Linked DNA regions of Cricetulus griseus. The protein of the gene in region 3 interacts with the protein of the main gene of each other region in a biochemical or structural test. Links are inferred from orthologs where the notes say so. Each region holds a gene or a part of one and is shown on either strand. Other genes may lie near its edges.

Region 1 (4,351 bases), on a different chromosome or scaffold from region 3:
CTATTGAGCTGACTGTGTTTAAGGTCATCTATCCCATTTGCTTTGACATCCTTAGGTTAGAAAGTACCTATACTTAGTGCTTATAACCTGCTTCCTGCCCCACTGGCCCCACTGCCAGCCTCAGCCTAGAGGAAGTGAATACATGTTTACACTTTAGTCCTCATAGATTCTGTCTCCCTCTTTACAACCTGTTAGAAGAAGGGCGAGTAAGTAATTCACCTATTCTTACATATTTACACAAGTAGACTAAGCAATTGCTTCATTCTGGGCTCTCATCCTGGCTTCTCAAAGAAAGCTAAAAATAAGTAGAATCCCTGATAATCTTGGTCCGAGGTTTCTACCAGCTGGGCTTGTTAGGATCACTGTTTCAGTTAAACTGACAGGTCGGACCAGCTACTTAGTGAAGTTCGTGTAAATTCCATTTGTATGGCTTGTTTCGTAAATATCAGAAGTATCATTCTCTTAGGTGTACCTGTATCTAGAGGTCAGCAGATTTAACGGTAGTGAAAAGTAGAGGCCAAGGAACACTTGCTGCTGCTATGCATGGTGAGCCATAAAAGGCTGGCAGTGGGGTGTGTGAGTGTGCCAGCCTGCCGACTTCCAGGTGAGTATGTCCAAGGGAACAGCCTCCAGCCACACCCAGCATCACATGGAGATAGCCAGCATGTGATGGGAGGGGACAGGAGAGTCCTTTCCCATTTCTTCTTTAGAAATGAAAACATGTTTAGAGAGAGATTCGTAGTTGCAGAGACAGTCTGGCAAAATGTAAATGTCTCCTCACTTAGGTGTTATGAATAGATGTTATTTATATTGAAATGGTTTAATACAGGAAACCAAGAACTTTAACTTACACATGTACTTTGACACAGAAAATGTTACAAAACTGTTTCCCCTCAGGCCTGTTCTTTTACATACCTACATACATTAAATGCCAGTTATTGAATTAATTCTCTTGTAATGTCTGGATGTCTCATGTATCTCCTGCAAGATCCTTAGGGTAGTTCAGGATGTAAAATCTCCTATGCAGCTGTCTGGGGTTACCCGCAAATGTTCCTGACCACAGAAATATCTGCCATTATGTTGACATGCTCACTCAGCATAGTATGTTTGCATAAACACAGTAAAGCCACATATCTCTTTTAGTCTAAGCTCACAGTATTGTCCAGATACATAATTAACAATCAAATAATTGTATAATTTTTTTATTTTTTGTGGGATATTGTGTCCATGCCTTATGACAGTATTGCTGGGCTGTGGGGAGAGAATATATTAAATATCTTTTGTTCATTTTCAAGAACTAAGAAGACCTATGGGAAAGCATTTAATGACTTCTTTGGGTAGAGGTTTGTAGCCACGTTAACAAGTCAGACTCCGGTGGATTGAAACTGCTGTTGCATGAAATTGCTTTTATATTATTTATCATTGTGTTCTTTTCTTGAATTTTCTTCTTTCAGAGGAGAGTTCCAGTCACAAATGCACATGTGATGCATGGTAACATTTCCCGCTAAGGTGAAATGCAGAAATGAAAAGGACGCATCCATTTGAGTATTCTCACATACGATTACATGCATTATCGTGTTTTCCATGCTACTGACTTTTTTTTTAATGTTTAAAAATTGTTAAGCGTTAAACAGCTTAGGATTTGCAAACTCAGTGTTCCTGATTGAAGATCCCAAGTAGAGATTTTATTACAGCATAAATACCTCAGAGGAGCCCTCGACCTAGTTCCATACAGAGTTCTTTCATCAGCTGTGACCTGAAGTTTCAGCTCCTAGGATGGCAGACAAGCTTCCCACAGAGTTTGATGTAGTTATTATAGGGACAGGTTTGCCTGAGTCCATCCTGGCAGCTGCGTGTTCCAGAAGTGGACAGCGAGTTCTGCATGTTGACTCCAGAAGTTACTATGGAGGGAATTGGGCAAGTTTCAGCTTTACAGGCTTGCTGTCCTGGCTGAAGGACTATGAACAGAACCATGACAGCGAGGAAGACATGACTGCCTCGTGGCAAGACCTGATCCATGAAACGGAAGACGCCATCGCTCTTTGCAAGAAAGATGAGACTATTGAGAACACAGAAGTCTTCTGTTACGCCAGTCAAGATGATGGGGACAGCACTCAAGAGAACAATGCTCTGCAGAGAAGTCCTTCCCCAAAGGCATCTGCTACCCTGGCTGACTCTCTGGATTCTGCAGGTTTGCCCAAAGAAGGGTACACAGTATACTTTTCAAGCCACGAAGCACCTTCTAGACACACAGAGAGAAGTGATACGGAGCCGTCACCATCCTTAACTGATGCAGAGAACTCACTGGATCAAGAAAAGGATGGTGGCATCCAGACAGTTTCAGATGGAGATAAAGATGAAGACAAACCTGATATAGAAGACAACAGCAAACAACCAAAGAGAAACAGGATTACTTACCCTCAAATGATTAAGGAGAGCCGGAGATTTAATATTGACTTGGTATCGAAGCTGCTGTATTCTCAAGGATCATTGATTGATCTTCTCATCAAATCAAACGTTAGTCGTTACGCAGAATTTAAGAATGTCACTAGGATCCTTGCGTTTCGGGACGGGAAGGTAGAGCAGGTGCCTTGCTGCAGAGCAGATGTCTTTAGTAGTAAAGCGCTCACCGTGGTTGAGAAGAGAATGCTAATGAAATTCCTCACATTCTGTTTAGACTATGAACAGCATTCTGATGAATACCAAGACTTCAAACAATGCCCATTTTCTGAGTACCTAAAAACTAAAAAGTTAACGCCCAACCTCCAACATTTCATACTACACTCAATTGCAATGACATCAGAACCATCCTGCACTACGTTAGATGGTCTTAAAGCAACAAAAACCTTTCTTCAGTGTCTTGGACGGTTTGGCAACACTCCCTTTATATTTCCTTTATATGGCCAAGGAGAAATCCCCCAGTGTTTCTGCAGGATGTGTGCAGTGTTTGGTGGAATCTATTGTCTTCGCCATAAAGTCCAATGCCTTGTAGTTGATAAAGACTCTGGAAGATGTAAAGGGGTCATTGACCACTTTGGTCAGAGAATAAGTGCCAACTACTTTATTGTGGAGGACAGTTACCTTTCTAAGGAAACCTGTTCAAATGTGCAATATAAGCAGATCTCGAGGGCTGTGCTTATCACAGATCAGTCCATCCTAAAGACAGATTCAGACCATCAAATTTCCATTCTGGTAGTGCCTCCACTAGAGCCTGGAAGCAGCTCAATTCGGGTCATGGAGTTATGCTCATCAACCATGACGTGCATGAAGGACAGCTATCTGGTCCACCTGACCTGTGTTTCTTCAAAAACAGCCCGAGAAGACTTGGAACCAGTAGTTAAGCAGTTATTCATTCCTTTTGCAGAAGCAGAAACAGATGAGGAAGAACTCAGAAAACCAAGACTCTTGTGGGCCCTTTATTTTAATATGAGAGATTCCTCAGGAGTGAGCCGAAGCTCATACCATGGTTTACCTTCCAATGTGTACATCTGCTCTGGGCCTGACTGTGGACTGGGGAATGAGCATGCCGTTAAGCAAGCGGAAACACTGTTCCAGGAGATCTTTCCCAGTGAAGAGTTCTGCCCTCCTCCACCAAATCCAGAAGACATTATCTTTGAAGGTGAGGGTTAGCAAGCAGACATCCTGGAGTCAGTAACACACTTACCATCCAGCTAGACACCCCAAGGACACAGCAAGGACTTGTAAAGCACAGAACACCTTCGAAATTAAAACTGACTGGAAGTATTTTCATCCTGGTCTCACAATATTGTCACTGAAAGACAGCTGCCATTTGTGATAAGCGCTGTTCACATGTCTTCAACACCAAGACACTGGGTACCCTAATAGCTCTGCTAATCTGTCAGCATCTGGTTTGTGGTGACTCACCTTTTTCAGAATTGGCTACAGGAATCCAGAATCTCTGAATGTCATTAGCTTTATTTTACTTTTGGGTTTCACATTAGCGACATTGCTTAACTTAAGGTAGCATCGTCTTCTGTGTTCTGTGTTCAGGTTTTATCATTATCTACACAAAAATTAATATCCACAGAGTGCTACTACTGTTGCTACCACCTCGGGTGCACAGAGGAACACATAATCATAAACGGAGTGAGTTTTTTGTATATTATGTAAACACACAGGGCTGGTAGTAGGAGTAGCAGCTAATACAAGTATGGTAAAAAAGCAAGTGTTAGAAGCTTGGCCATGCATGAGCCTGTGGCTTGGGGCTGCTATTTACATGTGATTTCACCTGCTTTAACCTTTGTCACTGAGGAGGCAGTGAGACTACGCTAGCCTGCTACTTTACAAAAAAAAGTGCCCCTTAGTCGTTTGAAGAACCTCTTATTTACGA
Region 2 (4,411 bases), on a different chromosome or scaffold from region 3:
CCTTGGGCCTCTTCTTCCTGAATGTTGGGTGACAGATATGTGTCACCACACCCTGCTTGAAAGCTTTGCTCCTCTATAGCCAGTTGTATCCTGCTTGTGCTGGCCTAGTAAAAAGAAGTAGTAAGAATAAGATACCCATAATACAAGTTGAAACCTTTCATGCAATGTAAGTAAGAACTGGCTCCAAGCCACCTTTCTTCAAAAGCCAAGGGTCTCTTCAACAGGGTGACTAGTTGGTAGAGAATCCAAGGGGTGAGTTCTCATAAAAGGACTGTAACACTAAAGACAATTCTGTGACACTATAATACAAGTCTGTCATAAAACTTCTGAAACAAGTTTTAATCTTTCAAGAGATCATGGGGGAAATCTAGTAGCTTTAATTTCAAACATGCAACTTCATGCTCGTTATGACCATATACGGACTTGCTCTACGGTGTTTGGATTTGGTTCAGTTGAAGTAGCAGGAGAATAAGGAAGCTAATGCTCTTCTCTCGGTGACCGTACTTTTGTGAATGACAGTGGAAGAGACTGATGGGGTTAATGGGTAGATTGTTTTGGGGGAAATATTAGTGATTTTGCCACTTTCTCTGTATACTGATAAATACTTTGATTAACGCCACCGATAAATAAAGCAGTGTGAAGCTGGAGAAAAGGATGCAACAAGGCTGAAACAGAAAAAAGAACAGCGTTCCAGCCCTTACATGCCCAATCTCCAACAGTGTGAACGGCACTCTACAGTCAAGGAGAACCGGGAAGCTATTTAAGTCTCTTCCAAAACCTTTTGGTGAAACAGAAATGCTGACGGAGATACGTTCTCCAGCAACTGTGTCTTTTTAATTTTTATTTAAAAAGACGTTTTCCTTTGTGATATATAGGAGATACGATGGCCATAATTTTAGCACATCAAACTTTAAGGCCAGGTAAGAATTAATGATTTGTTAACGCAAGGGTTTTAAACTGAGTGTATGTATTGATAACCAGGTGTGTGTCCAGAAAAAAACGATCTGGGGGTCTACTACCTACAAATTAACTGTAAACCCAATGACACAAGTTTGGATTTCAGAGGTTTGTGAGTTAGCACCACTTTTGCAGGAGTTAAGACTGAAAACTCGAGCAGGGTTGGAAAGGTTATGGGGCCAGGGGTAGGGATTTTTCCAAGGTTGCTGACGAAATATGGTGCAGACATAAAACTGCCTCAAGTTCCCCTCGAGCGCTTTTCACCCCAAGCTCAGGCTAACCGCGCGCGGGCTTGACAGACAGCCCCTTACACTCTCAAGTACGGGAAGATCGGCGCTCACAGGCAGTGCGGTCTGCGCGGGTCGCACCTCTGAGGAGGGCGAGCGGTCGCGAAGGAATCTCCCCGGTCGGCCCCGCGCGTTGACGGGCGTCGCAGCGAGCCAATGGGCGTGCGGGAGGCGGGACTGACAGGCCCGGGAGGGCGGGATTTCCCGCGCGGTGGCCTCTGAGCGCCTGACTGGGGCGGCGGCGTCTGCGAGAGGGCGGGCCGGGTCAGCTGCTGCAGGCGGGGCGCCGCGCCGAGCTGTGGGCGGCTGCTGAGTGTCCTGCCGCCGCCCAGCCTTCGCCACGATGCCGGGGATCGACAAGCTGCCCATTGAAGAGACGCTGGAAGACAGTCCGCAGGTAAGGTGCCGGCGGTGGCCGAGGACAGCGCGCGGCCTAGCGCGGGCCTGGCGCCTCAGGTGCCCGCGCGCGGCCCAGGTGGGCGCCGCCGCCCGGGGTCGCTGCCTGCGGGGACCGCGCCCTACACTCCCGGGCCGGGCTGGAGGCCCGCGCGGCTGGGCCGCGGATGGAGCGGCCTTCGCTGTCTCCGATGGGGCCTGGCTCTTGAATCCGCGCCGGGTCTCCCTTGCATTTCACGGGAGGTGCTGTTTTTATCGGGATGGTACGATGTGGCGAGATAAGTCCTGGTCGTGGCGTTTTCCGAGGAGGCCTGGCACGCAGGGACCGCAGTGGCTAGTTTTCTTCGGAAGGGGCTGCGAGGCCGTGTGTGCAACGCCGGTGGACGCAGCGGTGTGCGTCTTGCTCCCCGCGGTGTGTCGGTGTCCGAGGCTGTCACTTGAGCTGTGCCCTGCGGGTGACGGAAGGCGCCTGGGCTGCAGAGCCTTGGGTTGCAGACTTGGCCCGAATAAAGTCATCAAAATAAAAGCCCTGTTAATGTGCGTTGGGGATGATGCTAATATGGTTGCTCTAGCTGAAGACAGTCTGGGAAAATAAAACAAATTTCCTTTTCAGTACGGAATGAAATCTGTTGTATTTTAAAAGGTGGTCTCTAACTTGCGTCAACTTCATCCTTTTGCCAGCTTTCGTATATAGTAAGGAATATAGAACAGTGTTGCTGGTGGATTTCTTAAATAATACTTGCTGAGAAATATATATTTTATATGCATTTATAGTGGAGTGTGCCCCCCTCCCCCACAAAAAAAGAAAGAAAAGGGCTAGAGCTTGCTTTGCTGGATGACACTTTTGCCATAGATTTTGTGCCGGTTTTGATTTTCCAAGTTGAAACTGGGCTCTGATTGTAGAATTGATTTATTCTTCTCTCATTCTGAAAGCTGTCTTCATAGGCCAGTTGCTCAGACGTAATATCCCCTGTCAGGCAGTATGAGAAAGAGACACCCACATTTTGGGTTATCTCACAGCTGGTTTAAATTTTGCTTAATGACTTTCTCAGTGTAAAGTCTTAAGTTATATTTATTTCAGATGATTTGCAGCAATTTCGTGGTTGTATTGGTCAGCATAATTTTATCTTTTTACAATTAAGACCCAATACACTGTCTGAACTTCTTTTACCCAGTGTACTTTTTATAGCCCATAAAGACTATAAAGAGAATGGTTTGCACAGTGCCCTATCGGTGACTTTCGATGTAGTGGTTATCTTGAATTTTCCATGTAATTAGTTTACAACTTGAGTCAGGCTTATTCTGTAGCCCAGGCTGGCCTCAAACATGGGCTCCTCCTGTCTCTAACTGGTGGTTGCAAGCTTGAACCACAAGTACTTTCAGTTGTTGTTGTTTTTAATTTAAAATTTGTTTTTATATATATGGGTGTTCTGGCTGCATGTGTTTGTGTACCACTTGTATGCTTGCTGTCAGTAGAGGGTATTGGGTCCCCTGGAACTGGAATTACTAATGTTTGAGAGCCACTGCGTGGGTGCTGGAAATTGAACCTGGATTGTCTAGAAGAGCAGTAAAAGTGCTAACCACTGAGCCATTTCTCCAGCCCCTGTTTTTTAATTTAAAACAATGATTTTTTTGGGGACTGGAGACTGGACCCAGGACCTTGCACTTGGTAGGCAAATGCTGTACCACTAAGATAAATCCTCAATTTTGCTTTTATTTTTTGTGTGTATATGTGTTGTAATGTATGTGTTTGCATGTCTGTGTATGTGTGCTCATGTGAACGGAGGCCAAAAATTGATTTATCTTCCTTGATTGCTTACCATCCAGGATCTTTCTCTGAACCCTGGGTTTGTTAATTCAGGTAGTCTAGGAAGCCAGCTTGCCCCAGGTATCCTGTCTCTGTCTTTTAAGTGTTGAGAGTACATGTGACCGCTGCACATGCCCAGTTTTTCCATGGGTTCTGGGGAATCTGGACTCAGGTCCTCAAGCTTGCAGGGTAAGGGCTTTATCTACTGAGCCATCTTCCCAGCCCTATTGTATGTGATTATGTGTGTGCTGCTGCTCTTGTATATGCATGCATGTAGAGGCTAGAGGACAGCCTCAGGTGTTGTTCCTTCTCAGCTTCTACCTAGCTTGTTGTTTTTGAGATAGTGTCTACCCTAGAGATCTAGGTCTCTGATGGGATCATGTAGGCTAGGCTGGCTGGGCAGCAAGCCCTAAGGATCTGCTTGTCTACGCCTTCCCAGCACTACGATTACATGTACCTGCCACCATACCCACCTTTTTTACCTGGGTGCTTGATAGCTAAAATGTCTTCACAATATTCTCAATTAAAAATTTCAAGCCTGCATATTTCCTTAGGTGGTTTAACAGACATATTTTAAAATGTTTTTATTAGCATATATTAATAACATAACAATGAATTTTATTATGACATTCCATTTTTATTGTATTTGCCCATTACCTCTATTGTTTCCCTTTCTCTTCCTAACTAGATCTCTTACTTGTGTCTTTTAAAAATATTTTTGTTTTGTTTTGAGAGGAAACTCTTGTGTTGCTAGGTGGAGAGTTCCCTCTGCCTCAGTTTGCAGAATAGTTGGGACTATAGCAGGTGTACCATATCCAGCTCCCATTGTTGTACTTTTAGAGTTTCTCCGAAGTTCTGCTTTTGTAAATAGGGCTGAGCTTAATGCTTTTGGGACCATTCTACAGATGTGGAGGGGTTTTTTATTGGGGGAAGTGAACTGAAGGGGAGAGGGGAGACTGGCTTC
Region 3 (3,628 bases):
TTAAGAACAAGAAGTATGAAGATCACCATTTTATGCTTCTTTGTGACACCCTATCTGAAGAGGAGAGGAGATTGTCTCTCAGGCTAGCTTTTTCCAAATGCAATGCTAACAGCATACATTGTTAGCCCAAAAGCTACCCCTCCAAAATTACTGAAAGTAAATAGGTCACTCCTAATCCTACCAGATAGAGAAATCCTTATCAGCCAGGCACACAAACTTGGGAAATTACTATTAAATGAAAAATTTGCCAGGTGTTGGTGGCCCACGGCTTTAGTTGCAGCACTCGGGAGGCAGAGGCAGGCGGGTCTCTGTGAGTCGAGGCCAGCCTGGTCTACAGAACGATTTCCAGGACAGCCTTCTCCAAAGCAATGCAGAGAAACCCTGTCTCAAAAGAACCAAAAAAAGAGTATCATTTAATTGAGGCCTTCAGATAGTAAACTGTAGGATTTGTTCTAAAAACTTTCCATTTACAAGCATAACTTTCTTCAAAAATATTAACCCAAGTAGAACCTGATTTTCTTTTTTATTAACTTTTATAAAGTTATTTACTTCAAAAGTAAAACAGTACATAAAACACAGAACAAGAGAATGACTATTTAATGGTACTAGGAAAGCAAGCAGAATGTTAATAAACTCTGGGCATTTTTATGCCACCTAGTTCTTCAAACAGGATATGTCTTATTTCAGGCATTCTCTCTTTCTACTCAAGATTCTAAAATAAGGTAGACAATATTACAACAATTTAACAAATGAGTAACTGAGGCCCCTTGCAAGAGTCAACCAAATTGCCTGAGATAAGAGTGAATTCATAGCTAAGGGTTGATAGGACATAGAACCTGATTTTCTTTTCTTCATTTTAAAGGGGGTGGGCAGGGAGCAGGATGATGACAAGACAACTGGGACTGGTGTTACAAATGGTTGTGGATCACCCTATAAGCTGAACTCCAGTCACCTAGAATAGCAGTACTCAGGCTAAACCGCCATCTTTCCAGTGCCCAGAACCTGAATTCTTGATTGACCTCCCAGATTGCTCTGTCACAGTTGCTCTGTGACCTCAATGAGCCTTTTCGTACCTGTTTCCTCATTTATAAGATTTGTAAGAGTACTTGATACTGTTGAATGGCTATATTAAGTATTTAAAATACTAACTGGCACAAAGTCAAGTCTTCTTTATTTTTATTTATTTGGGTTTGTTTTTGGACCTAGAGCCTGCTGCTTGCTGGGCAAGCACTATACCAATCCCCAGCCCCAAAGTCAAGTTGTTGAAGGTTAGTTGTTTTGTAGTCAGGTGATGTATGTTGTCTGTGGCTTTGAGCTCTTGCTTCAGCCTTCCCAATGTTGGAATTGCTGTTACCACACCTTGTGAAAGCTTGCCTCTTCCTTTTACTAATTTTTTGTTGTTGTTAACATACAAGATAGGTTACAGGTGATGTTTTCATTTGTGTCATTCTTCCCTGTCCTCTCCCATACCCTTCCTCTCTGCAAATTGTTTCCTTTCTGCTTTCATGACATATAAATTCTGTTACTTTCTCTTCTTCCAAGCATTCTCTCTTTTTTTAGACTTCTCACCCTCCTTTTGAAGGTTGACTTTAGGTGATTTTAGGCTTAAATCTTGTGCCATTATTTCCCTTGAAAGGGGGTGAAATAAGCTAAATGACTTTCGATGTCTACTTGGTCATTACAGTACTCTATTATTAAACTTAGTAATATTAAGTCACTAATATTGATTTACTTAGTTTTGATTTGTTTATTTAATTGTTTGTGTCTCCACAGGTATTTTCTCCAGAAAGAAAACAAAATTGATACCTTGCATCCTGGAAGTTCATTTAGGAATTTGAAATTAGGGACTTCTTTCAAATTTGGACATGGCTAGTCGAGGAGCAACAAGACCCAATGGGCCAAATACTGGAAATAAAATTTGCCAGTTCAAACTGGTACTTCTAGGAGAGTCTGCTGTTGGCAAATCAAGCCTTGTGCTTCGCTTTGTGAAGGGCCAGTTTCATGAATTTCAAGAGAGTACCATTGGGGGTGAGAATTTTATTTTCCTTTTAATCATTTAGCTGAGTCATACATTAATATTTGTTCTAGGTGTGATTTTGAATAGCTAAATAGATCATGCAGGCAAGAAAAAAAGCTTTTAGCAGACCTTGAACTTTAATACTTTAGTTTGGTGTTTTATTTTGTTTGTAAACAAAATAACTTGTTTGTAAACAAGTTATTGTACCCTAAGCTATTCTGAAGTTTCGATAAACTTACTGTCCTGCCTCCACCTCCTAACTATCGGGGGATTATAGGTGTACACTACCAGCCCAGCATGGTTTTCTGTTGTTGTTTTTTGGGGTTTTTGTTGTTGTTGTTGGCTTTTTTTTTTTTTTTGGTTTTTTTGGTTTTTTTGGTTTTTGGAGACAGGGTTTCTCTGTATTGCTTTGTAATATATTCTGAAATTCGATCTGTAGACCAGGCTGGCTTCGAACTCACGGAGATCCACCTGCCTCTGCCTCCTGAGTACTGAGACTAAAGGCATGTACCACCAATGCCCAGTCCCAACTTGGTTTTGGGTGTTAAACAATATTTAAAGGAAAACTTTTAAAAACAAATTAGATGGGGGGAGGGCATAAGCTTATCAATCCAGCAGTCCAGAGCCTGAAGTGGGAGGACTACGTTTCAGACCAGTGACTATGATATAGCAAGATCCTATCTCAAAAAAAGAAAGCAAAGTACAAAATTGAGATGTCTTGTTAATTTAGATAGGAAAGTCTTCTCTCCAAGACATTAACTTGCACTGTATCCTATGCTTTCCATGAACTCTTGGTGATCCTACTTGTTTTAGCCACCAAGTACTGGGGTTACAGGTCTGGTCACCATATCTCGACTGTTGTTTTTGAGACAGGGTCTCAAATCTAACAAGCTTTATTTCATAGGTTTGGGGGGGGGGGGCGTGGGCTGGAGTGGGTGGGAGGGGGACATTCATAAGATAGGTCTCACATGGCCTATGGTGGCCAGGAACTGAACTGAGCTAGGTATTTGTTGATGGCCTTGAATATCTGATCTTCTACCTCCAGAATGTTGAGATTACAGTTGGGTCACCACAACCTGTGTTTGTGGTGCTGGGGGTGAAAACTAAGATTTTGTGCATGTCAGGAAATCACACTTCCAACTAAGATATGTTTCTAAGCCTCAGTCATTTTTAACACAATGTTTTTAAATCCTTTCTCTGTCAAATACTACTTTTGTTAGGTTAGGGAAGTCACATGTTTATTTACCTCTTACATGAATCAGAAATAACAGTGCCTTGTCTGAAATGAAAGCAGATGTCTTAATGTCTTAACTGGCAGAGAATAAATGCTTAGTAAGTCCAGCTAAATAAATACCAGTGTAGCTTTTTGCTGAGTCATTTCTAGCAGTGTTTGATGTGTTATATAATAATATTTTGGGTTCTAGCTGCTTAGTATTTGGCTTAAGATTTTAAGTTTTTGTTTAAGTAGGGGCTGTAGAGATGGCTAAGCAGTTGGGAGCACTGAGTGCTCTTCTAGAAGTAAGAACTTTAGGCTGGCTCAGCTATCTTCACTTAGACCAGTAGTTCTCAACTGGTAGGTGGAAACCCCTTTGGGGTTAAATGATCCTTTCA

The links.
Region 1: the proteins of Rab5a (region 3) and Chml form a complex in vitro, tested with the Homo sapiens proteins (2 studies listed by BioGRID). The link is inferred for Cricetulus griseus from reciprocal best matches to the Homo sapiens genes RAB5A and CHML.
Region 2: the proteins of Rab5a (region 3) and Appl1 form a complex in vitro, tested with the Homo sapiens proteins (2 studies listed by BioGRID and IntAct, with this or other methods). The link is inferred for Cricetulus griseus from reciprocal best matches to the Homo sapiens genes RAB5A and APPL1.

What each region holds. Positions count from the first base shown.
Region 1 is NC_048598.1:18,011,501-18,015,851, forward strand, and holds the start of Chml (rab proteins geranylgeranyltransferase component A 2), read left to right. Parts: upstream 1-1,527; 5' UTR 1,528-1,776; coding exon 1,777-3,630; 3' UTR 3,631-4,351. UniProt on the Homo sapiens protein: Substrate-binding subunit (component A) of the Rab geranylgeranyltransferase (GGTase) complex. Binds unprenylated Rab proteins and presents the substrate peptide to the catalytic component B.
Region 2 is NW_023276807.1:192,715,262-192,719,672, forward strand, and holds the start of Appl1 (DCC-interacting protein 13-alpha), read left to right. Parts: upstream 1-1,587; coding exon 1,588-1,641; intron 1,642-4,411. UniProt on the Homo sapiens protein: Multifunctional adapter protein that binds to various membrane receptors, nuclear factors and signaling proteins to regulate many processes, such as cell proliferation, immune response, endosomal trafficking and cell metabolism.
Region 3 is NW_023276806.1:249,792,095-249,795,722, reverse strand, and holds part of Rab5a (ras-related protein Rab-5A), read left to right. Parts: intron 1-1,244; exon of another isoform or gene 1,245-1,268; intron 1,269-1,773; 5' UTR 1,774-1,865; coding exon 1,866-2,028; intron 2,029-3,628. UniProt on the Homo sapiens protein: The small GTPases Rab are key regulators of intracellular membrane trafficking, from the formation of transport vesicles to their fusion with membranes.